4 linked regions of the Drosophila melanogaster genome follow. Changing the gene in region 1 together with any one later gene gives a genetic interaction. Each region holds a gene or a part of one and is shown in the gene's direction. Other genes may lie near its edges.

Region 1 (5,152 bases):
AACAGTGGGTTAATACTCAGATAATCCACAGCTGGCTGCTCCCAAGTGTCAGATTACGGAGGCCAGGGGGAACCTGTTCAGCGCCCCGGAAAACTACGCCTTAGTGCACTCTGTCAGTGCGGACTTCGCTATGTGTGCGGGCATAAATCTGCAGTTCCGCTGCAAATTCGGACAAGTGGATGAGCTGAAGCGCCAACACAAGCATACCGGAAATGTGGCAGTTCTGGAGCAGGATGGTAGACATATCTACAACCTGGTGACCAAGGAGCGCAGCCACGAAAAGTGCACTTACGCAGCTCTCTACTACGCATTGCTGGCCATGCGGGAACATATGGTAAGGAATTGTATTTTTAAGGGCTTACAGACCAAAACTGCATTACTAAAATAAAGAGAAAGGTGAAACATTATAGTTAGGATCAGGTTCACCAAACTGTATTAGAGCAAGATACTGGATACTAAATATGCTTGCTATATTCTCTCTTTCAGAGGGAGCACGGAGTGACCAAGTTGGCCATTCCCAGACTTGGATGCGGCATCGACCGTTTGGATTGGTTGCGCGTGCGGAGTCTGCTGGATCTGGTTTTCGCCGAGGATAGCGTGGACATAATTGCATTCTTCTACACACCGCCACAAATGGTTAAGGACACGTTGAACGTGGTTTGTCCCACCTGCCGGCACATGAAGACCATCCATTTGCCATCGAGGTCCGTTAGTGGATCAAGAAATTCGCTTCATCGCGAAAAGACTCCCTTTTAATGTATATAGCCATCTTTGTTTGACACTCGAAATGGTTTTGCTTGGGACTTGTGGCATCATATGCACCAAATACTTATATAGTTGATAAGAACGATACACCTAAGAGGTTTTTATAGCACACAAAGTTTCCATATTTGGTTATTTATACTGTATTTAATGTATTAATAAATAAAACACGTCCTCGAGAGGATATTAACCAAAGATTGGAGTTTTGATAAATACATATATATACCCTTACGAACCATTATCTAGTGTTATCGTATGACCAAAAATTAATCTAGTAGCTGCCTGTTACACTAAGTCAGACAGATCTAAAACCCTTATTTAAACTAAATGTATTCTCCCAAACTTCTAGAACTACGTAGCGCATTTCGGCGAGCTTTTGTAGTCGGAATGTCATCCAAACCTCAGTACACCCTAAGCGAAGTGGATGGGGATCTGTTTTCCGCCCCCAAGACCTATTCCTTGGCGCACTGTGTGGGCGCAGATCTTGCGATGGGTGCTGGAATTGCCGTGCAGTTCAAGAAGGTATTCGGAAGGTTGGACGAGCTGCAAGCCCAACAAGCGGGCAGTGGAGATATTGCGGTGCTGAAGGATGACCAGCGGTACATTTACTACCTAGTAACCAAGCCTCAGAGCTGGGGAAAGCCCACCTACGAATCTGTACAAGCATCTTTGGAGCAGATGCGTGAGCATATGGTAAATACATGCCTGATACATATCTTTTATGAATGGAATGTATCCCTGCTTTTATTTATTATATATATAAAGCTTAGACAAGTTATATTAATAAGAGCTACATTTTATTATTCCTACATTAGCGCAAAAACAACGTGAATAAGCTGGCCATCCCAAAAATTGGCTGCGGAATTGATGGCTTGGAATGGGAAAAAGTCAGCGGAGTCCTCGAGTACGTTTTTGGCCAAGAGCCGCTGGAGATTGTTGTCTACAATTTTGTGCCTCCACAGGGAAAATAATGGATCGTTTAGTTTAATATGAGCCATTTACTTCATAGCAACATAATTATAAACGACCAGCTCAACAGAATCCGCTTGAAAAACCTGGCAAATTATTTCCTTAACTTTGGGCCAGTTTAGGCCATCCAAACCGCATCCAATGCGGGGCATGGCTAGCTTGGGTACTTGGTGGGAGATCTGCAAATGGTAGAAAGATTCGTATATCATAACTTCTTATAGAAGATACATAAACATACCATGTGTTTTCGCATGGCGATCAAGGAACTCTGGAGAAGTTCGTAGGTGGGCTTTCCCCAGCTGGATTTCTTGGTGATCAGATAGTAAATAAATCGCTGCTGGTCCTGAAGGACAGCCACGCCGCCTGGCTGAACATTTTGTCTCTGCAAATTCAACAACTGTCCAAATTTGTTTCTGGAAAATAGGCAAATTTACCATTTTATTAAAAACACTAAGCCATTACCTACCGAAACTTTACAGCTATGCCTCTGCCCATTCGCAAATCGGCAGCCACGCAGTGGCACATGGAATAATCCCTTTGGCATTTGAATAGGTCGCCATTGATCTCTCTGTAAGTTAGTCCTGACATTTCCATAAAACTTTTACATTTATACTCCTCCGACTTCTTCACAAAAATTGTTTTCAATTGTGCGCTTTCTGCGTGTCCACGTTTTCCTCCGAATGGCTGCCAGCTGGTGTTTGGCAACGCGTAAGTAAACAACGATTGGCAACACTGAAGCATATACACTGCACTAAAATTAAACCCGATCAGCTGATAACAAATGAGTTTTATTTTTAAATTTATTGCCACTTTTGTACGCAAAATGCTGGAGCTGTTGCAATTTGGAGGGAAAACCCTTACGCACACGCTGAGTATTTATGTAAAAACGAACACGGGCAAAACGCTGACCGTTAATCTGGAGCCCCAGTGGGATATTAAAAACGTAAAGGAACTGGTGGCACCACAATTGGGACTTCAGCCGGATGATCTAAAGATCATATTTGCCGGTAAGGAACTAAGCGATGCCACGACAATAGAGGTAAGAAGTTTCTTTAATGTATCCGCTACATGAAGTTAACTTTTACTGTCTTCTAGTAGCAATGTGACTTGGGTCAGCAAAGCGTTTTGCATGCCATTCGTTTGCGACCGCCCGTGCAGCGCCAGAAAATCCAGTCGGCCACTTTGGAGGAGGAGGAACCTTCGCTTAGCGATGAAGCCTCCAAGCCTCTAAATGAAACTCTGTTGGACTTGCAGCTGGAAAGCGAGGAGCGTCTGAATATAACCGATGAAGGTAGGCAACAATTAGTTTTTATTGTTTTTTTTTTTTTTAACGAAACCCCTTGTAATCCCGTCGTATCCTCTCCAGAAAGAGTCCGTGCCAAAGCGCATTTCTTTGTACATTGCAGCCAATGCGATAAGCTGTGTAATGGCAAACTTCGGGTCCGCTGCGCTTTATGCAAGGGCGGCGCCTTTACTGTCCATCGTGATCCGGAGTGTTGGGATGATGTCTTGAAGTCGCGTAGAATTCCCGGTCATTGTGAAAGTCTGGAGGTGGCCTGCGTGGACAACGCGGCTGGCGATCCGCCCTTCGCTGAATTCTTCTTCAAGTGTGCTGAGCATGTCTCCGGCGGGGAGAAGGATTTTGCGGCTCCATTGAATCTAATCAAGAATAACATCAAGAATGTTCCTTGCCTGGCCTGCACGGATGTGAGGTGATTATGCAATAAGGAACATCTTAATTTCTTATAATTTTCATATCATCGAAAATGTCATAAAAAGTTCTTTTAAAGTCTTTAAAGTAATTATTTGTCATATAATTTTATTCTGCTATAATCACCTTATTATGTTCGCAGTGATACCGTGTTGGTTTTCCCCTGCGCATCGCAGCACGTCACCTGTATCGACTGCTTCCGCCATTATTGCCGTTCCCGTTTGGGCGAGCGTCAGTTTATGCCGCATCCGGACTTCGGCTACACCTTGCCCTGTCCCGCAGGCTGCGAGCACTCGTTCATCGAGGAGATTCATCACTTCAAGCTGTTGACACGCGAGGAGTACGATCGGTACCAGAGATTCGCCACCGAGGAGTATGTCCTACAGGCAGGTGGAGTACTCTGCCCCCAGCCAGGATGCGGCATGGGCCTTTTGGTGGAGCCCGATTGTCGCAAGGTGACATGCCAGAACGGCTGTGGATACGTGTTCTGCCGCAATTGTCTGCAGGGCTACCATATCGGGGAGTGTCTGCCCGAGGGGACGGGCGCCAGTGCCACAAACTCCTGCGAGTACACCGTGGACCCAAATGTGAGTTGGCTCTTATACGGCCCATTCCCGCTTGTGTAATCATGTGCTTTTTTAGCGAGCTGCCGAGGCGCGATGGGATGAGGCCAGCAATGTCACCATCAAAGTCAGCACAAAGCCCTGTCCAAAATGCAGAACCCCCACGGAGCGAGATGGTGAGTTGGGCGAGCATCGAAGACACCCAAGACGCAGTTTGTAACACATCCATACCGTCTTCTTCTCTTCCTACCAGGCGGTTGCATGCACATGGTCTGCACACGCGCTGGCTGCGGATTCGAGTGGTGCTGGGTCTGCCAGACTGAGTGGACACGCGACTGCATGGGAGCCCACTGGTTCGGCTAATCCTTCGTCATCGTTGTACGTCGGCCCGACGGGTCCTTTTTGTTTGTTGACTACTTTTAAATTGTATACCATAGTAAAGACTGCTCGAACAACACCCTGTTTGTCGTCTACGCAATCAATAGCAGAAACACCCCTGACAAGGACCAACGCGAATCACATCCTACCCCACTCTGTTCCTTTGTTGCGTGCGCACAAAAACTTTGTTTACGTTTTTTTTTAAGCTCGCCCACAAATATTTTGAGGGCTTTCCTCTTCGGCCAGGCATGCGAAAACCGCAACAAACACGTGCATTTGGCCAAACAGCCAGAGAGCGAGTGCCGCGAATGCGCAGTGGGTGGTCAGCGGCACAAGGTTCATGTGATTTCAACCCAGGCGCGTAGCCGCAAGGGGACTAATAATTGATTGGGGGATGGTAAAGGCATTTCAAAAATGTTCCTGGATTTTCAAAAGTACTAACTACTATTCTTGCTAAAGAGAGAAAACACAAAAGAGAAAATTATTAAGAAACTGAAACTTAAATTTTGGCCGTTAATACGTAAAATTAAATATTTCACTTTAATACAGTTTTATAATTCATATGTGCAACCGCCCTAGGACACATCTGTAAATCAATAGATTTTAGGCAATTATATATAGGAAACACGCATTCCCCTGAATAACTAATTTAAATTTATAAACTTCTACAAGAATTGCAATTAGTCCGCTTAGAAAAGCCGTCTTGGAAACTCGAGACGCCTGAAAGTTCACCTGCCTGGTTATCAGTCTGCCTTGCGGCTTATCGGTC
Region 2 (4,434 bases), on another chromosome or scaffold:
CCAGCACCAAAAGACCCAGACTGAGCTGCGCCGAGAGGAATACTATGGCATCGAACTGACTGATCTGACCCGAGGCCAAGGGCCGCAACCTCGTGCGCTCCACTTTGGCATCGATGTCCTTGTCCCAGAGATCGTTGATGGTGCACCCGGCGCCGCGCATTATCAGTGCCCCGGTGCCGAACAGACCCAGCATGGTGAGGTCCGGCCAGCAGCCCGCATCCGCGCTGAGCGCTATGCTCCAGGCGCAAGGCCAGAAAAGGAGGTAGGTGCCAATAGGCCGGTCGATTCGCATTAGTTGGGCATAGGGTTTGGCGGCCGACACGAGTTCCTGCAGCGGCGTTTGCTGCTTCACGGGCTCAGTGGCGGTACTCGAACTCCTGGAGCATACATCCTGCAGCCGGGACTTATCCCAAGTGCTCCAATCTCCAATCAGAACACGCGCTGGTTGCCGGGGCAGCATGTGTTTTGTTGTTGCCGCCGCTGCATAAGAGCTGCGGAAGTGCCTAGCGCTCTGGAGTCGCAGGTGTCGAAGCGCATACATTGCGATTTGCCTTGCACTAGCACCTTCAACGATTAAAGCATTAAGTCACACGATGTTAAGTTGTATTTGTTCGTAAACTCACAGTCAAAAAATGGCAAGATGTTTAATGGAACTTTGGTTGGGAATGTCAAAGGGCTGCCATCCGGGTAAAGGCAGACAAAGAGTTGCCGGATAGATGAAAAAACAATATGATCCGGTGGCACTGCTGCATTTGGCGATAAAAATTTGAATTTAAGTTTCAAAGACAAATATATTAAAGTTGTAAACAACTTGTGTTAATTGTTAACTTTTGAGTTGTGTTTCACCAAAGTCATATTTATATATCTAAACACAGAAGAACATATGCGGAATGTAGTTCTTCGTTTTACCAATACTAATAACTAAAGCTTCTTTACAGTTATCTCCACCTAAGCAGTTTAGCAAAAGCTTTTGCTCTCTTTTTTGCGTAGACCCAACCATTTACCCCTCTGCAATATCGTTAATGTTTTGCGCACGTCGCCCATTTTTCGAAATTGGCACACGGCGCAGGAATGTCCGTAGAATTTATGCACACGGCCGCAGAAGGTTTGCGCACGGCCATCAATTTTGGCGGCATTCTATCCCAGTTAGAAATAGCACAGTAAGAAATAACACTCTAGGAAAGCCAAGTGGACTAAGGCAGACCTCCGGCGATCCGGCGGCCGACGGTTGCTATCGCTCCCATGCCGGAATATGGGCATATACCTACGTATGAATGTACTCGACTAGAGCCATAAAACCGTGATCGAAGCGAAGAAATAATGGAATTATTTCAACATCATGTATTACAGCAACAATTTCAGGGGGTTGTATTAGCCCATGATTGATAATCTGAATTGCAATAAATTCTGCACACGAATCGATTGTCGAACCTTTGCCATGAGTCCATAAATTAAGCTGCAAACCGCAGAGAAACCCACGACGCATCAATTATGGATTTTATCTCTCGAGATAAAGATCTGCAACTGATACCCAGAATATATCTTTTGATCTGACCTCTAACACTGAGATCTGCATGCATTTATGTTTATTTACATGACTGTATCTGGGCTGCCTTTCTTAGTGTGGGGCGACTATCGTTGGTATCGCCGCTACTGGGTGATAACGCTCTTTCCCATTGCCCATAGATAAGCGCACTTTCCTATCGCCGCGTCGGGGGATTAGGTGCGATTTTCTTTAAAAAACCACTCGCGAGCAGCGGGTTTCAAGCAGTCAACGCTCTGCTCTCAGCACCTCAGCAGGTCTAGCTCTTATCACTGTGCCTCCCCGATCGCCAGTCGGATTTTCCACGCCTTCTATCTATATCTATACTACACCAGCAGCCCAAGATGGATCACGGCTCGGATGACAGCACCAGCACGGCCAAGTCCTGCCCTATGATCATGGTGGTGAGTACGCAGTTACACAACTCCTGTGTCCAACAATTTTGATACAAAATCACTTACCACTGCGCTAAACGCTGTAATTTAAAAGTCACTCATCCAGTTTAGCTGAATGAGATTTGCACGGAGAGCAAACAAATATCTCGTCCGACTTGGAATTTGAATTCTCTGGCTAGTCACTCCCTAGTATAAGTTCGTATAAGTATGTTTATGTGCCAGAAACCACAACGAATTATTCGCTCTCTAGCGCTTTATTCGCTCTCAGCAAATACAAATAATACAAATTGAATATGCTCGAACAGGGTGTCTCATGAATAAAGATTCATGGGTTAAATTATACCGCTGTAAGGGAATTATAAAAAAGATGTTTAATTCGAATGTTATGTTTATGTTGATGTTTAATTGGAAAGCTTAAGCTTGATATTTTATAAAACTAAAAGTAATATTAAACTTTTGTATTAAGGATCATCTTAGCAAAAGTGACCATATAGATATACCTAGATATTAGATATCTAGGAATCTAGATATAGATACGAATTAGAAAGTTATTAAGTGGTAATTAGTGGTAGTTAACTGGTATTTAAGCCTCATCTTACTGATCTTATGGATTCTTATGTAGTTAATCTTTCACTCTCGCATCCTTTCAGTTCCACGCTGGACACTGCGAGCGAATTTTGTGGCGCGGATGGGTGGCGTCCACTGTGACGGAGTTCGTGCTCTCCGCCCTGGCCATCTTCCTGGTGTCCTTCCTGTATGAGGCGCTCAAGTTCCTGCGACAGCAACTGGCGCGCAGGGAAGCCCGTCGAGCAAGCGAGCAGCTGGCGGCGGAGCAGCGTAGGAAGAACGAGGCTCCGGCAGCCGGAGGATGCTGCTCGGAAGCTCCCCTGGCGGAGCCGAGGGAGCAGACCTACTGGCAGCGCTTGTTCGCCTCGTCGCACATCGTCCAGTCCCTGCTGAACCTGCTGCAGATCGTCATCTCGTACCTGCTGATGCTGATCTTCATGACCTTCAACTACTGGCTGTGCCTGGCAGTGATCCTGGGACTGGGTCTGGGCTACTTCTTCTTCGGCTGGAACAAGAAGAATCCCGACGAGAGCGAGTGCTGTCCTTAGATCAAGAATATCGCTCTTAATTGTTTATATATCTTGCAATTGTTATAAACTAAGCCCTTATCAGTTCTTGGTTCACACATCAAAGAAAAAGTCCCGTCCCCACGTAATTATACAAATTGTTTAAAAATACAATTTTATTCGATAGTTACACTTGGTTTAATTGTTATTGATGTAATCGTAGCATAAATTAGTCAACTAGTTTACTTAATGAGCATATTGTACAAATAGTGTAGTCATGAGAACAAGAACCTATACAACGCGTATTCATCTAAAGCGATTAAAGTACTACTCAATACTTTTGACTTTACAATATGTTTTTATAAGCAATACACTTTATTTTTGACCACCCCGAACTCAAAACGCAAACAATCCGATATGAGACAAAAAAGAAGGCAAAGTTAAATCTCCAGGATTACATGAAATTCGTTATGAAATGCGAACATTACCAGGTCTGAGTCCTGACAGCCCACAACTCACATTTGAAGGCCTAACTAATCACGATACTCACCTATCACACAATAGTACATATTTTAGTTTAGTTAAGATCTTGAAAAATCTTTTTAACAAATATTTTAGCTGTGATACATCTGGGCAGGTAATATAACTAAGCAAACCTTATGATTATGTGAATCATCTCGCACACATTTTTTTACGACACTTTATCTATTTGTACTTGCCTAACCACACACCAGTATTTGCAAGCTTCTTAGTTAAAGTTTAAATTATTTTGAAATTTCCGGGATAATTATAAGTTCTTTTAGTGCATTTGTTTAAAATTTGAGTGACAAGTGAGCGCCATGATGAGACCATTCCCTAACTAGCTCTTAGACTAGAGTAACCTAGACTGAACAACCGCGATCGAAAGTAGCTAGACCCGCAACCAATCCGCTGATTATAGACCACCCAATCATAAGCCCGTGGCTCCAGCGGCCATCATTCCGCCGTGATGATGGTGGTGATGCATTCCGCCGTTCTGGAAGTACATGTAGTAGTTGTACGGCGACTGCTGTCCCGCCCCACCCTCGCAGTCGAGCAGTGGCTGACCACCGGCCGTTCCCGCCACCGGCGAAGGAGTCATCGGCAGCGGGGATACCGTACTGCCCATGCCGCCCATTCCACCCACTCCGACGCCCACTTGGCAACTGGCGCGCAGGGCAACAGCCTGATGGTGGGCCAGGATATCGCTGACCGAGTGGGAGGAGGGCCAGTGGGCGGCAGCGGCTGCGGCGGCCACACTCCTCAGCTGGTGGGGATGGGGCACTGATCCCTGACCGCCCGCTCCCTGCGGCGGGGATGGACTTCCACAGGGCGTCTTCATGCTGTAGGCCGCCGCAGCACTGTACGGCTGGTAGATGGAGTTGTACAGGTGGGCGTGGGCATG
Region 3 (6,025 bases), on another chromosome or scaffold:
GTATAGATTCGCCCGTTAATCATTATGAAATCTACGTTTTATACACAAATACAACTACCAGATTTTCATATTAAATATAACATTTATTTTAGACTCCAGTCGCGGATAAAGTACATGTAATGAATGTGCTGAGTGGGATGAGATTACTTTAAAGCTAAGATGATGCAGCAGCCAAGGTCCATGATCTGCAGATACTCGGAGCCGCCGTCCTGCAGTCGAAAGCAGCATTCCTGTGGGATAAAGGCAGCAATAAACAAGAGGAATCATATCTATCTATGCAGTCAGTACGTACGCCCAGCTTATCGCAGATCGTGGCCTTTTGCGGATCATTCAGCCCCGGATGATGGACAATGAACTCGACGAACTGTTCCATCATTTGGCCAACGCTGTAGGCGGAGAAGCCAATCTCCCGCACGAACTGCTCCAGGCGCTCGTAGTTCCCAGAGCGACAGACCTCCAGGTAATCCTCCAGATAGTACTCCGGTATAACGCCCGACATCTCGAACAGATCAGCAGTGTTGATGATGTGCTCGGGCCCTTTAAGGCGGTAGCAGGACTGCAAGGTGGTGATAGCGCGTCGCAGATCTCCGCCGGAAATTTTGACAATGGATTTATAGGCATCGTCCTCTATCTTTACTCCCTCCATCTCGCAAATGTACTTCAAACGATCGATCACCTTGTCTTCGCCCAGCGCCTTGAAGCGAAATTTAGAGCAACGCGACGTGATTGGCACGATAATTCGGGACACATAGTTGCAGATCAGGCAAAAACGGGTGCTCCGGCTCTCCTTCTCCATGGTGCGACGCAGCGCAGACTGTGCGGCATGGGTCATCGAATCGGCCTCGTCCAGAATGATGATCTTGAAGGGCGGACACGGCTTACCGTCCGGACGCACACTGCTGGCCGACAGCTGCGAGAAGTTTTTGATCTTGGTGCGCACCACATTGATGCCACGCTCGTCGGAGGCGTTCAGCTCGAGGATGCGGTCCTTGAACATGTCGCCGAAGATCTGTCGGCTGGCAGCCAGGATCGTGCTGGTCTTGCCCGTGCCGGGCGGTCCGTAGAGCAGCATGTTGGGCAGGTCCCCGCCTTCAACGCACTTGCGCAGCACGGCCACCACTTCGGACTGCTCCACCACATCATCCACATTGCGTGGCCGGCTGTTTTCGTCATTCGAAAAGGATAGAAATCACTTAAATTAGCATGTGCTCCAAGTTGGCGACATCGTCAACTCACTATTTCTCCACCCACGGTGCCGGTGGCTTGCGACGCGCCGCCGGAGTACCCTGGCTCTTGTCTCCGGATCCCGCCGTTGATTTTCCCGTTTTCAAAAAGGCTTGCATACCGGTTTCCTTGTTTCTTGACAAAATTACAAATAAAGCAGGACGCAAATGCAAGTTAAGCGCGCGTTTATCGATAACAAGTTGTCGCGAGTTGAAAGGTTGCCGGTAGCAGAGCTGCCAGCTAGAGCGAAGCAATTGTACACCTGTAAAAACTTCTGTGTATTACAAAAGTTTGTATCAAATGTAATACTAAAAATGTTATATTAAAACATTTTTTAATATTTGTACTTATAAAATTACACTTTTGTACAGATTTTTTTATTTGCAAATAATTTGAATTTAAAATGAAAACAATATAAACATTAGATTCTCGCCGCGTAGGTGCATCCATCTATCCGGCAACCCTGGCCTGCATCGCTTTTGTTTTTGTTGCGTTTTTTTATTGCGCTGATAACTACGGGTTTTTTAGTTTTTTATAAAGGATATAAATAGAGCGGCTTTCGCAGGCAGGGTGGACAAACATGATTAACCGCCCAGCACAGCGCGTGCCAACGAGTGTTTTATAAGAGCCCGATTTGGATTCTGATTTTGATTTGCTATTGCCTTTGCCTCTGCCATTGCGATTGTTATTGTTTTTGTGCCCCGCCTTCGCCCCACAAAACCGAAAAGGAAAAAACCAAGAGAAGCGTTGCCAAAACGTTGTTATGTAAATGCACGGAAGCAGAACGTTGGCACAGGCACCAATCCTCATCCGGAATCCACCGCAATCGACGTGCTCCGCAGCGGGACACGAAGTTTAAGGTCGGAGCGCAGAGCACCCGCACGCATCACGCGATTGTGTGAAAGTTTCGCCTGGCTCGAGTTTGTTTAGCGCTTGTTTACCCAACGCGTAACGAAGTCACTGAGTTTCCCCTTCCTTGTGCATTGCAGATAGGAAACCCGGCTCGGAAATGGCCGCCAAGACGGACGAATCGTCGCCAGCCGTGGCGTCAAGCACAAGCAGCAATCCCGCTCCCTCCAGCGGACGCCACCAGTTGCGACCCGTGAAGTTTGACTACGCGGACTCATTCGCCTGCACTTACATCGTTTCCGTGGTGGCCGCCTCCATTGCAGAGCTCGCGACCTATCCCTTGGACCTGACCAAGACGCGTCTGCAGATCCAGGGCGAAGGAGCCGCCCATTCGGCGGGAAAGTCCAATGTGAGTGGCACCCCACACCTAACTGCTTTCCGCTTGTTGTTCTATTGTCTCAGGCTTTTGGTTACTCCTAACCCCGGAACCTAATCCACATCCCCCTCTTCCAATCCATCCATTCCTTAGCTCACAAACTAAACCAGAGATTGTGCTGCCCCCTCCGATTTATCTACTCCAATCGCGCGATTAGCGAGCCGAAATTTCACAGTGTGTTTTCAGAGTCAGAGATACGGCAAATCGGAGTGGGCACGGCCTTGCTGATAAGCCTTGGCTCACAAGACGCTATGCTAGGTGGCTCGGTATCAGTCACAGCTTCTGCCCAGATCACACCCATGCACCCACCCCCACCCCGGCTAGCTCATCCATTGTACCCGTATACGCCTTCCCACTTTCCCATCTGTGTGTGTGAATGTTTGGATTGGTTTAATTGTTTGCTTGTATTCATGGACTGTATTGATACAATTTATTACTAAGAGAGTGTATGATAACGATAGCTAACAAATATGAGTAGGTACTTGTTTAATCGTATCAAAAGAAACCAGTTTGCTAACCACAAAGAACATGTTTGATATTCGAATTACCAATCTCAGTTACGCAGAAAGGGAAGAGGGAAAATGAAAATATAAAGATTTCTAAATCAATAATAGCTAATCCTCCTAAGACGAAAAGCTATGTTAGAAAAGATACATTAACAAAAAGTTACAAGGCTTATAGGGTAAGCTTAGTAAATGGAATTAGATATGCGATAGGAATGGCCTAGCAATACAGGACCCCCATCCCACTGACCAATCCATTCCAATCCGTTTGTGTGTGTATGTGCCTGTTCCATGTGAATATTGTGTTTTTCGGCCTGCAACAGATACAGATACAGATACAGATACTACAATGAACCACCCACAATTACCGATTCCCAACGATTACCATTACCAGATGCAATACCGCGGCATGGTGGCCACCGCCTTCGGGATTGCGCGTGAGGAGGGCGCCCTGAAGCTGTGGCAGGGCGTAACGCCGGCGCTCTACCGACACGTCGTCTATAGGTGGGCATTCCCAAAACTCCTCATTCTAGCATCTAGATCACCGCCACAGCCAATCTGCGCCAGCAGCTGTTAGCCATCAGCCATTAGCTCAGCAAGTTCTAACCCAACTTCTCCCTGTCCTCCCATGTCCATCCGCAGCGGTGTGAGGATCTGCAGCTACGACCTGATGCGCAAGGAGTTCACACAGAACGGCACCCAGGCTCTGCCGGTTTGGAAGTCGGCGCTGTGCGGCGTCACGGCCGGAGCCGTTGCCCAGTGGCTTGCCTCGCCCGCTGACCTCGTCAAGGTGCAAATCCAAATGGAGGGCCGACGACGTCTGATGGGCGAGCCACCGAGGGTGCACTCCGCTGGCCATGCCTTCCGCCAGATCGTGCAGCGTGGCGGAATTAAGGGCCTGTGGAAGGGCAGCATCCCGAATGTGCAGCGAGCGGCGTTGGTCAATCTGGGCGACCTAACCACATACGACACCATCAAGCACCTGATCATGAATCGCCTGCAGATGCCCGACTGTCACACAGTGCACGTGCTGGCCTCCGTTTGTGCCGGATTCGTGGCAGCGATCATGGGCACGCCAGCTGATGTGGTGAAGACGCGCATCATGAACCAGCCCACCGACGAGAATGGCCGGTAAGTGACCAATGGCCGCATTTAACTATTGGAACGCTTAATCACCTATGTTATTCTCGCAGGGGCCTGCTCTATCGCGGATCCGTGGACTGCCTGCGACAGACGGTTTCGAAGGAGGGCTTTGTGGCGCTGTACAAAGGCTTTCTGCCCTGCTGGATACGAATGGCGCCGTGGTCGCTCACCTTCTGGCTGTCCTTCGAACAGATCCGCAAGATGATCGGAGCCTCCGGCTACTGAGCGGTGGCTCAATTTAAGTTTAGGTGTAGATGTACATACAAGCACATGTATAACGCAGTTCGTTCATGTTACCCCGCCTTTAAGTCGGTCATAATCCTATTTTCCGTGCCTGAATGCCCAAATGTCAGGAGGATGTTGTGCGGCTCCTGGCCAAGCTTAGCAGCATATACTCTGTCCATTTTAGTCTGTTATGCCAATCAGATCTTTCAGGTTTCTTTCTCTTACCTTTTGTTATTGTTGTTGCCTTAAGATTAAAATCAAAACTTACAATAAAGCGAGAAACTTGTTATTTCAACGGATATTACTTAGGCGATTACTTAAGAATTTCCCAAGAGTCGAGCGAAATCGAAAGAGACAGCAATGCTGGTGGTCAATGGAACTTGTATAATCCTGGCAAATAAATTATTAATAGGATTTTTCCCTTCCTTCAGTGAAAGTGAAACAGTTTTAAGTATTTTATCAATAGATTTTTTTTGGTATATGTATATTCCTAACCAGCTCGAGTGCAATTAAGTAAAATCAAGAAAATAAAATTGGTAATAATACCTAGGAGGCATACACACAGGCACACATATGTACATAAATACATAGCTACGTATAATATATAGATATAGATACATATATCCAAAATTGCATTTACGTTTCGATTAAAGACTCCAATGGAAAAGGAAAATTTGGGTGCCCAAAAGCAAACCACACACAGAACTGGAAACCCGCAAACAGATTGGATGGCAATGGCATTCGTCTACAGATCTTTCATCCGTCATCGTCATCATGGTTCAGGTTCATGTAATGGAGTCGTGGAGGGGAGCGGGGGAATGAACGGCGACGGTACTAGTGGTGCGGGTGTTTCGCAGCCCCTCCAGGTTGGTCTGTCGTTGTTTCTCCATCGTCGTGTTTTCCGTGTGGTTTCATGTGCAGGACTTAATCCGAAGTGTGTGTGCTTGACTAGACGCCGAGGAAAGCTAGTGCCGGTATCAGGATCTACTCCAGTCCCAGCATCCAGTTGATGCCTTGTACTATGAAAAAGATGAGCGGCTGCCAGGCCACCAGCCAACGAATCCAATCCAGCAGGCGACCGTACAAAACGTGCGGCTTCTCCCAGCTAGAGGAGAAACAATATTAAGTAGGCCAGTCAAACGGATGGCTCTGAATGGCTTACGGATTGCGGAACATCTTCTGGAGATCGACCTTTTCCTTGCAGTAGGGACACGTCTGCTTCTTGCCCACAATGCACCAACCACGTATACAGAACTCGTGGAATACGTGGTTACAAGACAACTTGTAGGTGTTCTCAATGACGCCCTCTTCCTTCTCCGAGACCAGCAACTGATTGCCACACACTGCGCAGACATTCTGATCAAGATGTCGTGTTGGAATACCCTGAGGTGTGTAGTACTGTGGGACAAACGGGAGGGTTAGAAGATTCCAACTGGGTATCTGGCCAATGGTCAACTCACGCCAATAGCTGCCGCCATCTTATCCGAACATATCTCGGATATATCACGCCCCAGGACGCCGATGTACAGGCCGTAGAAGCAGAACATCAGGCCCACATCCATCCATGTGTTTGGTGGCTGTGAGAACATGTAATTCATGCCCAGAAAGGCGGCTATGATCACCAGATAGCCCACCAGGCCAAGGC
Region 4 (6,821 bases), on another chromosome or scaffold:
ATCGCTTTGTGCAACGCATGCAAATGTGCAAAATTACTTTCACATGATTAATGCTCCACCGGAGGGCAGAGGCTGCTCCAGCTTCAACTACACCATCATCATCACCATCATCATCATCATCACTCCATAATTAATCGCGCCAAGTCGAAAAGCGGCAAAAGAAAGCCAGAAAGCAGACAATGGCTGAACTTCATTTGAAATTCATATTTTAAGTATTCGTCAGTCAATTAGAGAGCCAAGGACCCTGACACCGAATTTGCATTCAGCCGTGAAATTATCAAATTAATATTCCGGCCCCGAGAAGGGGGCGTGCCCCATCACCATCACCCCCGCCCGTCTTTCGCAATAACTGTCAACTCAAACTCAAGAAGTTTTCCACGCCGCACATTTCGGCAAGTTGTCAAGCCAGAGATACGAAAGTTCCCCGGTCCAACAATGCCAATTTGATGGGGGAAATTTTGAAATATTTATACACACTCAAACACACAGATACAGCAGAGGTGTGCTGGCAAAGTTGCCAGCCAAATTTGTTAATTGGAAGCCGAAAGTTTATCTATGAAAATGCTAAAGAAGCCCACTTGCAGTTCGAAAAATGCCAGAATGTATAATAATGGGGCAAGAAATGAGATTAGTCAGTATCCCAAACTTGAATGATCAAAGTTTCATGGATGGCGTAACTAATTTTGAAGTGGAATGATTAAATTTTGAAACTACTTATAATCGATATTACCATCCTGCGATCGGAACAATAAACTCAAACAATTCGATACTTCAATGGGATTGTAAATAATAAGTCATCTTAAATCATCCCAAGCATATTCAAATCGCTTGGAAGCCATTAAAGAGATAAGCGAGCATTGCAAAATGATATCAGCCAACTTGTAACAATTTTCATTGTCATTTTCAATTGGGAGCAGCCAGGAGGAGCTGGCCAAACAACAATGGGAACTGTTATCAAATAGGACACATGATGCATACGTGAGTGGGGGCTTCTATGCACATGGATGTGGTACATACATATGTACGTCCAATATTCTGGTCCATTTGGGCCAGGCCACTATCGAAATTTGAATGCTTAGTGTACCGGGCGACAAGCATCCTCGAACATTGAAATAAACCGATAAAAACGACAGATGAGCCCGGCATTTCGCCCACAATGCATGCCAGGCAGGCAATCGAGTGTGGTCGAGAAATAGTCGGGTAGCCCCCTTTTTGGTTTTGGGGCACAGCTCACTGCCCTGCAATTCTTATATAAAACCGGGGAAGTCCCCATCCCAACCGCCCATGCAAATCTCGAGCACTTGAGGCCGGTCCCCAGATTATTCCTTTTCCCTATTTTGGGCCACGTGGTCTGACCACTTGGCGGCTGCTCCAACTTTAATATTTCTTCGTTTAAATAGTCCTTTATTTCTGCAGAAATTAGACAAAATCAAAGACAATATATTTATGCTATATATTCATTTTCACTGTTATGTCTGTAAGGGTATTCAGAAATGCGCCTACTCTGTGTAGTTTTTCAATTTAGTTAGATACGATGAATATATTGAGATTCTGCCAGATTTAGATTGTGGTGTGTGAGTTTTCAGATTGGTTTGTAAGGACCCCTTTTGTTTGGTCCATATCAATACAAACTCCTCATGTGCATATAAAATAAGTAAAAAGGCAAAATATGAAACAAAACAAAAAGAAAAGGACATTCATATTTTGTAGCTATTGGGGGATTTTAAGTAATGTTATGAAATCATACCTTTCTTTATTTGTGTAAAGTATTCAATACACGCAACTAACGGGCAAAATTGGAAACACCCAAAAATTCAATTTTGGCGCGCACAGAAAGCTGCCCTTTTGGAATAGATTGGCAGCACTCTCGCGCACGGTGGCAACCTCGTCTAGGGACTGCCGATAGCAGCAAGTTCCGCCCGTGTGGCAACACCGCTAGAAAAACAGTCTAAATTTGCTGTGCAACACTGGCGGTTTGCAAAAATAATTTCGGTGCTCGCGTCAATCAGAAAAAGCCGAAAAGAACGGCCTTTATGTGCGCGAATTAATCGCCAGCCGAGTGGAACGCGACCAAAGGAACCCAGCACACACACACACTCAGAATGGAGGCCCTAATTCCGGTCATAAACAAGCTGCAGGACGTCTTCAACACCGTGGGCTCCGACTCCATCCAATTGCCCCAAATTGTTGTTCTAGGCAGTCAGGTAAATGCAAACTGCGAGGTGCCCAAAAATCCGCACACCGAAAACCATAAATCCCCGAGCTCCGTAAAAGGAGTGGCAACTGAGAACCGGAATATGGCGCAGCTATCTGAAACCCCAACTCTTGCGCTTTTCCAGTGACCGCAAAATTATATAACTGAGTGCGTTTGCCGGCATTTTAGTTGTGTTTTCAGTTTGTAGCAACATTTCAGCCAGCTTTCGCTCTTCGCGGCGTCCCCATTGTTTATATAATTATTTTTGGCACTGCTCGCCGCCGCCATGGAAAATCAATATGCCACAGTATTATACAAAAACGAAAAAAAAAACAGCTGCTGGCTGATGTGACACATTCCCCCACGAACACACTGCAAAAAACAAACGTACACATGTGTGACTTCGATAGTTGTGTCTGTATGTACATATATGTGTGCATGTTTCGATCGCTGGCTTAATTGCACTTTGATTCACGCTCTGGAATTAAGTCAGTATGACTAAATGCTCGCGCAACTCATTGATACCGAGTACAGCGGAGCTCCAATATGTTGAATCTGTGCCATTTCTTACCATTCATTTGGTTTTCTGTTGCAAAGGCTTAAGTTTGAGAAATTTGCAATCACAGAATGGCTCCCATTGCCAGATAAGAATAGTTAATCTGCGGTTTTCCAAGTGTTTCCTCGCTGCAAACGCTTGGGAGCCACCTTATCAGGTCATCGTCTTTTATCAGCCGTCGTTTTAACTCCCAGTAATACATACATTTCCCCTTTTTTCCAGAGCTCCGGCAAGAGTTCGGTGATCGAGAGCGTTGTGGGACGATCCTTTCTGCCCCGTGGAACTGGTATTGTGACCCGTCGCCCACTGGTGCTCCAGCTGATCTACAGCCCACTCGATGATCGCGAGAATCGCTCGGCGGAAAATGGTGAGTTGAGACGTCAGAAGTTCGGGAAAACCCAATTGCTAAACCACATAACACTTAGGTACGTCCAATGCCGAGGAGTGGGGCCGCTTCCTGCACACCAAGAAGTGCTTCACGGACTTTGACGAGATCCGCAAGGAGATCGAAAACGAAACGGAGCGGGCGGCGGGCAGCAACAAGGGCATCTGCCCGGAGCCCATCAACCTGAAGATATTCTCAACGCACGTGGTCAACCTAACGCTGGTGGATCTGCCCGGCATCACCAAGGTCCCGGTGGGCGATCAGCCGGAGGATATCGAGGCGCAGATCAAAGAATTGGTCCTCAAGTACATTGAGAACCCGAACTCCATCATTTTGGCTGTGACGGCCGCCAACACGGACATGGCCACCAGTGAGGCACTCAAGCTGGCCAAGGACGTGGACCCCGATGGCCGGCGCACTCTGGCCGTGGTCACGAAACTGGATCTCATGGATGCCGGCACCGATGCCATCGACATCCTGTGCGGCCGGGTCATTCCCGTCAAGCTGGGCATCATCGGCGTTATGAATCGCTCGCAGAAGGACATCATGGACCAAAAGCACATCGACGATCAGATGAAGGACGAGGCCGCCTTCCTGCAGCGCAAGTATCCCACTCTGGCCACCCGGAACGGCACGCCCTACTTGGCCAAGACCCTCAACCGGCTCCTGATGCACCACATCCGGGACTGCCTGCCAGATCTTAAGGTGAGTCTAGTCTATAAAGACTGCATATCGATTTCACAAACTATGCGAGAATCTCAGGCTAAAACTTCAAGAAAATGTAAAAAAATGAAACAAACTTGGCACTCGATTATAATCGATCTTTATATTTTTCTATGGTAAAGCAAGAGAAGATTAATGGCAGATAAGGTTAGAATAGCATGTTGAATTCAAGAGAATGACTTCCCATATTCTTGCAGACTCGCGTCAACATCATGGCCACGCAATTCCAATCGCTGCTGAACTCCTATGGCGAGGATGTCTCCGACAAGAGCCAGACCCTGCTGCAGATCATCACGAAGTTCTCCAGCGCCTACTGCTGCACAATCGAGGGCACGGCCAGGAATATCGAGACCACGGAACTGTGCGGCGGTGCCCGGATGGGCTACATTTTCCACGAGACCTTCGGCCGCACCCTGGACTCCATTCACCCGCTGGCGGGTCTGAGCAAGATGGACATACTGACAGCCATCCGGAATGCCACTGGTCCACGCCCGGCTTTGTTCGTTCCGGAGGTCTCGTTCGAACTGCTAGTGAAGCGCCAGATTCGCCGCCTGGAGGAACCCTCCTTGCGCTGCGTGGAACTCATTCACGAGGAGATGCAGCGCATTGTTCAGCATTGTGGCAACGAAGTGCAGCAGGAGATGCTGCGGTATGTGAACTCATGATAGCTGAACGCCAAAGGTTTTCATCGATCTCCCCTACAGCTTTCCCAAACTGCACGAGAAGATTGTGGACGTGGTCACCCAGCTGCTGCGTCGACGTCTGCCGCACACCAACGTGATGGTGGAGAACATTGTGGCCATCGAGCTGGCCTACATCAACACCAAGCACCCCGACTTCCACAAGGATGCCGCTTTGGTGCCCAGTCTGCTGAAAACGGACAGCGATCCCTACTCACAGATAAATCTGGGGCAGCGGCGGGCCAATACACCGCGAAACCACATGTCGCCTCAGATTTCGTCGCACAGTGCTGGTTCACAGCAGCCGCAGCAGCAACAGCCGCCGCAGCCGAATTCCTCACAGCAGCAATATAGCCAAGTGCATGAGCAGGTGCCAGCGGAATCTTCATTTATGTATGCAACCTATTTAACCCATTTTCGTTTCGCTCTCTAGAACCACGTCGCCGAGAACTCGACGCCTTCGATGGCCAGCACATGGCTGTCAAACATTTTACCGCCGGCACCAACGCGTCCGGACAGCATTGAGAACTCGACCAACAACACTCCGGTTCACAATAACATCGTGAGTCCAGTGAAGCCGGTCAATCTGCTGCCCGATGTGCCGGCCAACCACAATCCACGTCGCCTCACTGACAAGGAGCAGAAGGATTGCGATGTCATCGGTGGGTTGCACTTAACTCGGGCCACTTAAAGACCTAACTCAATCTGACTACTTTTTGTTTTTAGAACACCTGATCAAATCGTATTTCTACATTGTGCGCAAATCCATACAAGACTCGGTTCCAAAGGCCATCATGCATTTCTTGGTTAACTACGTTAAGGACAACTTGCAGAGCGAATTGGTTACACATCTGTATAAGTCGGATAAGGCTGAAACCCTGCTCAACGAGTCCGATCACATTGCAGTGCGCCGAAAAGAGGCGGCAGATATGCTGAAGGTGCGCTTGGCTAGCTTATACTTAGCTTGACATCGTTTTAAACTTACTTTTGATTTCAGGCACTGACGCGAGCGAATCACATCATCAGCGAAATCCGCGAGACCCACATGTGGTAGGCTGGTCAGCGATTGGAGCAACCCGTTTCGACTTAATAATCCCCGCATATAAGCAACATAAAAACTATTTATTGAAGACGCGTTCAAAGAGAACGAACTCCTTTGTTAAATGTTCCCCCTACCGAGCACTGAAATATCATCAAATTGCATGCGACCCCCAAATTCTGGGCCTTTCATTTAGCCAACTCGCATTTCTATTCGCCTGGCATTTGTCTATCATCGAGCCTCTCCGCTTTTTAAATTAATAAGAAGTTGTAGACGCCGTGATTGGTTTGATTAGGTTACTCAAAGCACTTATTACACATTGAATAGTCAAATAAAGCAGAAAAGGTTGATTCAAACATAGTAGATGTGTTTTCTGTCACGGCAGCTAAAAGTTTACGAAGGCAACGTCATCATGTTGAATGATACACCTGGAATTTCGATTAGATAAGCCATTATGTTCGTAAAGTTGCTAGGCTCAGTCTGAAGATTAATAAGTGTTTAAATCTGATAGGAGTTGAATCTTCCTGAGTTTTGAGATGCGTAGCAATTGCTTAGCCTTACTAAAAACAAAATTTTTCTTACAAATTATGTTACATGTAGGTGTGGCTTGAGTGAACTAGAAGTACGTTCGTTCCCCTGATTGAAATCACTGCCACTCACCTTTCGTAATAAAAACTTTAATACTTGGATACCAGTTAAAATCTAATTTGGAAAACGTCATTTGTATTGCGGCGAAGAAACAGAAGTGGGTTCCAGCTGGGGCGTGGCAAATCCCGAAGATAAGGATGTGGTGTCCAGTGCTCCAATCCTGTGTTGATTAAATGCTCCGCGATGCGTATGAATCGGTTTATGGGGCAGGGAACAGTTGGGGTAGTGACTCTATGACCGCCTTTGGCTGTGCTGATCTCCTCTAGGCGCGATTTGTGTCGGACAGCACGCGGACAATGCAGCCCACTCCTCCCTTGGCGAAGGCCTTCTCATGCCACTGCAGCAGGTGGCCACTGGAGCCCTCCGAGGGGATCTCGAATCCCCGATATATGTACTTCATCAGCACGTCTATTAGGTCGTTCTGGTCCAAGGTGTCGATGGCCTGGTCCATTTGCGTCGACTTGATGGACAGCAGCACCCGCAGCGTGATGTTCAGGGCGTGGTCCTGCAATGCAAGGAAGGATTAGCTTTATAGGGTTCTCGATACGAATAGGTGTGGCTACCCACCTTCACATTCTGGTTCTTGCAGCGCAGCG

The links.
Region 2: of park (region 1) and Ctr1B, changing one suppresses a phenotype caused by changing the other (phenotypic suppression), as found in Drosophila melanogaster (one study listed by BioGRID).
Region 3: of park (region 1) and Ucp4A, changing one suppresses a phenotype caused by changing the other (phenotypic suppression), as found in Drosophila melanogaster (one study listed by BioGRID).
Region 4: of park (region 1) and Drp1, changing one suppresses a phenotype caused by changing the other (phenotypic suppression), as found in Drosophila melanogaster (2 studies listed by BioGRID).

Annotation. Positions count from the first base shown.
Region 1 is NT_037436.4:21,194,063-21,199,214, reverse strand, and holds park (parkin), read left to right. Parts: upstream 1-2,361; 5' UTR 2,362-2,439; intron 2,440-2,445; exon of another isoform or gene 2,446-2,502; 5' UTR 2,503-2,512; coding exon 2,513-2,770; intron 2,771-2,829; coding exon 2,830-3,022; intron 3,023-3,078; exon of another isoform or gene 3,079-3,097; coding exon 3,098-3,443; intron 3,444-3,568; exon of another isoform or gene 3,569-3,584; coding exon 3,585-4,029; exon of another isoform or gene 4,030-4,084; coding exon 4,085-4,181; exon of another isoform or gene 4,182-4,258; coding exon 4,259-4,368; 3' UTR 4,369-4,461; downstream 4,462-5,152. Other genes in the region: Targ2 (terminal ADP-ribose protein glycohydrolase 2), read left to right, coding at 32-334, 487-756; Targ1 (terminal ADP-ribose protein glycohydrolase 1), read left to right, coding at 1,090-1,455, 1,578-1,666, 1,725-1,755; Targ3 (terminal ADP-ribose protein glycohydrolase 3), read right to left, coding at 1,761-1,910, 1,970-2,144, 2,198-2,319. UniProt on the Drosophila melanogaster protein: E3 ubiquitin-protein ligase which accepts ubiquitin from E2 ubiquitin-conjugating enzymes in the form of a thioester and then directly transfers the ubiquitin to targeted substrates, such as Paris, Marf, Opa1, Miro, pnut, Septin1, Tom20 and porin.
Region 2 is NT_033777.3:8,315,850-8,320,283, forward strand, and holds Ctr1B (copper transporter 1B), read left to right. Parts: upstream 1-1,762; 5' UTR 1,763-1,887; coding exon 1,888-1,947; exon of another isoform or gene 1,948-2,157; intron 2,158-2,588; coding exon 2,589-3,053; 3' UTR 3,054-3,356; downstream 3,357-4,434. Other genes in the region: Coq2 (coenzyme Q biosynthesis protein 2), read right to left, coding at 1-541; Poxm (Pox meso), read right to left, coding at 3,961-4,434.
Region 3 is NC_004354.4:17,843,277-17,849,301, forward strand, and holds Ucp4A (uncoupling protein 4A), read left to right. Parts: upstream 1-1,672; 5' UTR 1,673-2,084; exon of another isoform or gene 2,085-2,144; intron 2,145-2,213; 5' UTR 2,214-2,233; coding exon 2,234-2,482; intron 2,483-3,406; coding exon 3,407-3,516; intron 3,517-3,654; coding exon 3,655-4,143; intron 4,144-4,205; coding exon 4,206-4,380; 3' UTR 4,381-4,947; downstream 4,948-6,025. Other genes in the region: CG8142 (uncharacterized protein), read right to left, coding at 144-230, 293-1,160, 1,237-1,343; CG15814 (uncharacterized protein), read right to left, coding at 5,365-5,485, 5,543-5,778, 5,841-6,025.
Region 4 is NT_033779.5:2,580,553-2,587,373, reverse strand, and holds Drp1 (dynamin related protein 1), read left to right. Parts: upstream 1-1,943; 5' UTR 1,944-2,102; coding exon 2,103-2,204; intron 2,205-2,972; coding exon 2,973-3,117; intron 3,118-3,175; coding exon 3,176-3,840; intron 3,841-4,055; coding exon 4,056-4,507; intron 4,508-4,562; coding exon 4,563-4,908; intron 4,909-4,971; coding exon 4,972-5,200; intron 5,201-5,264; coding exon 5,265-5,476; intron 5,477-5,535; coding exon 5,536-5,592; 3' UTR 5,593-6,093; downstream 6,094-6,821. Other genes in the region: Arpc5 (Actin-related protein 2/3 complex, subunit 5), read right to left, coding at 6,488-6,730, 6,793-6,821.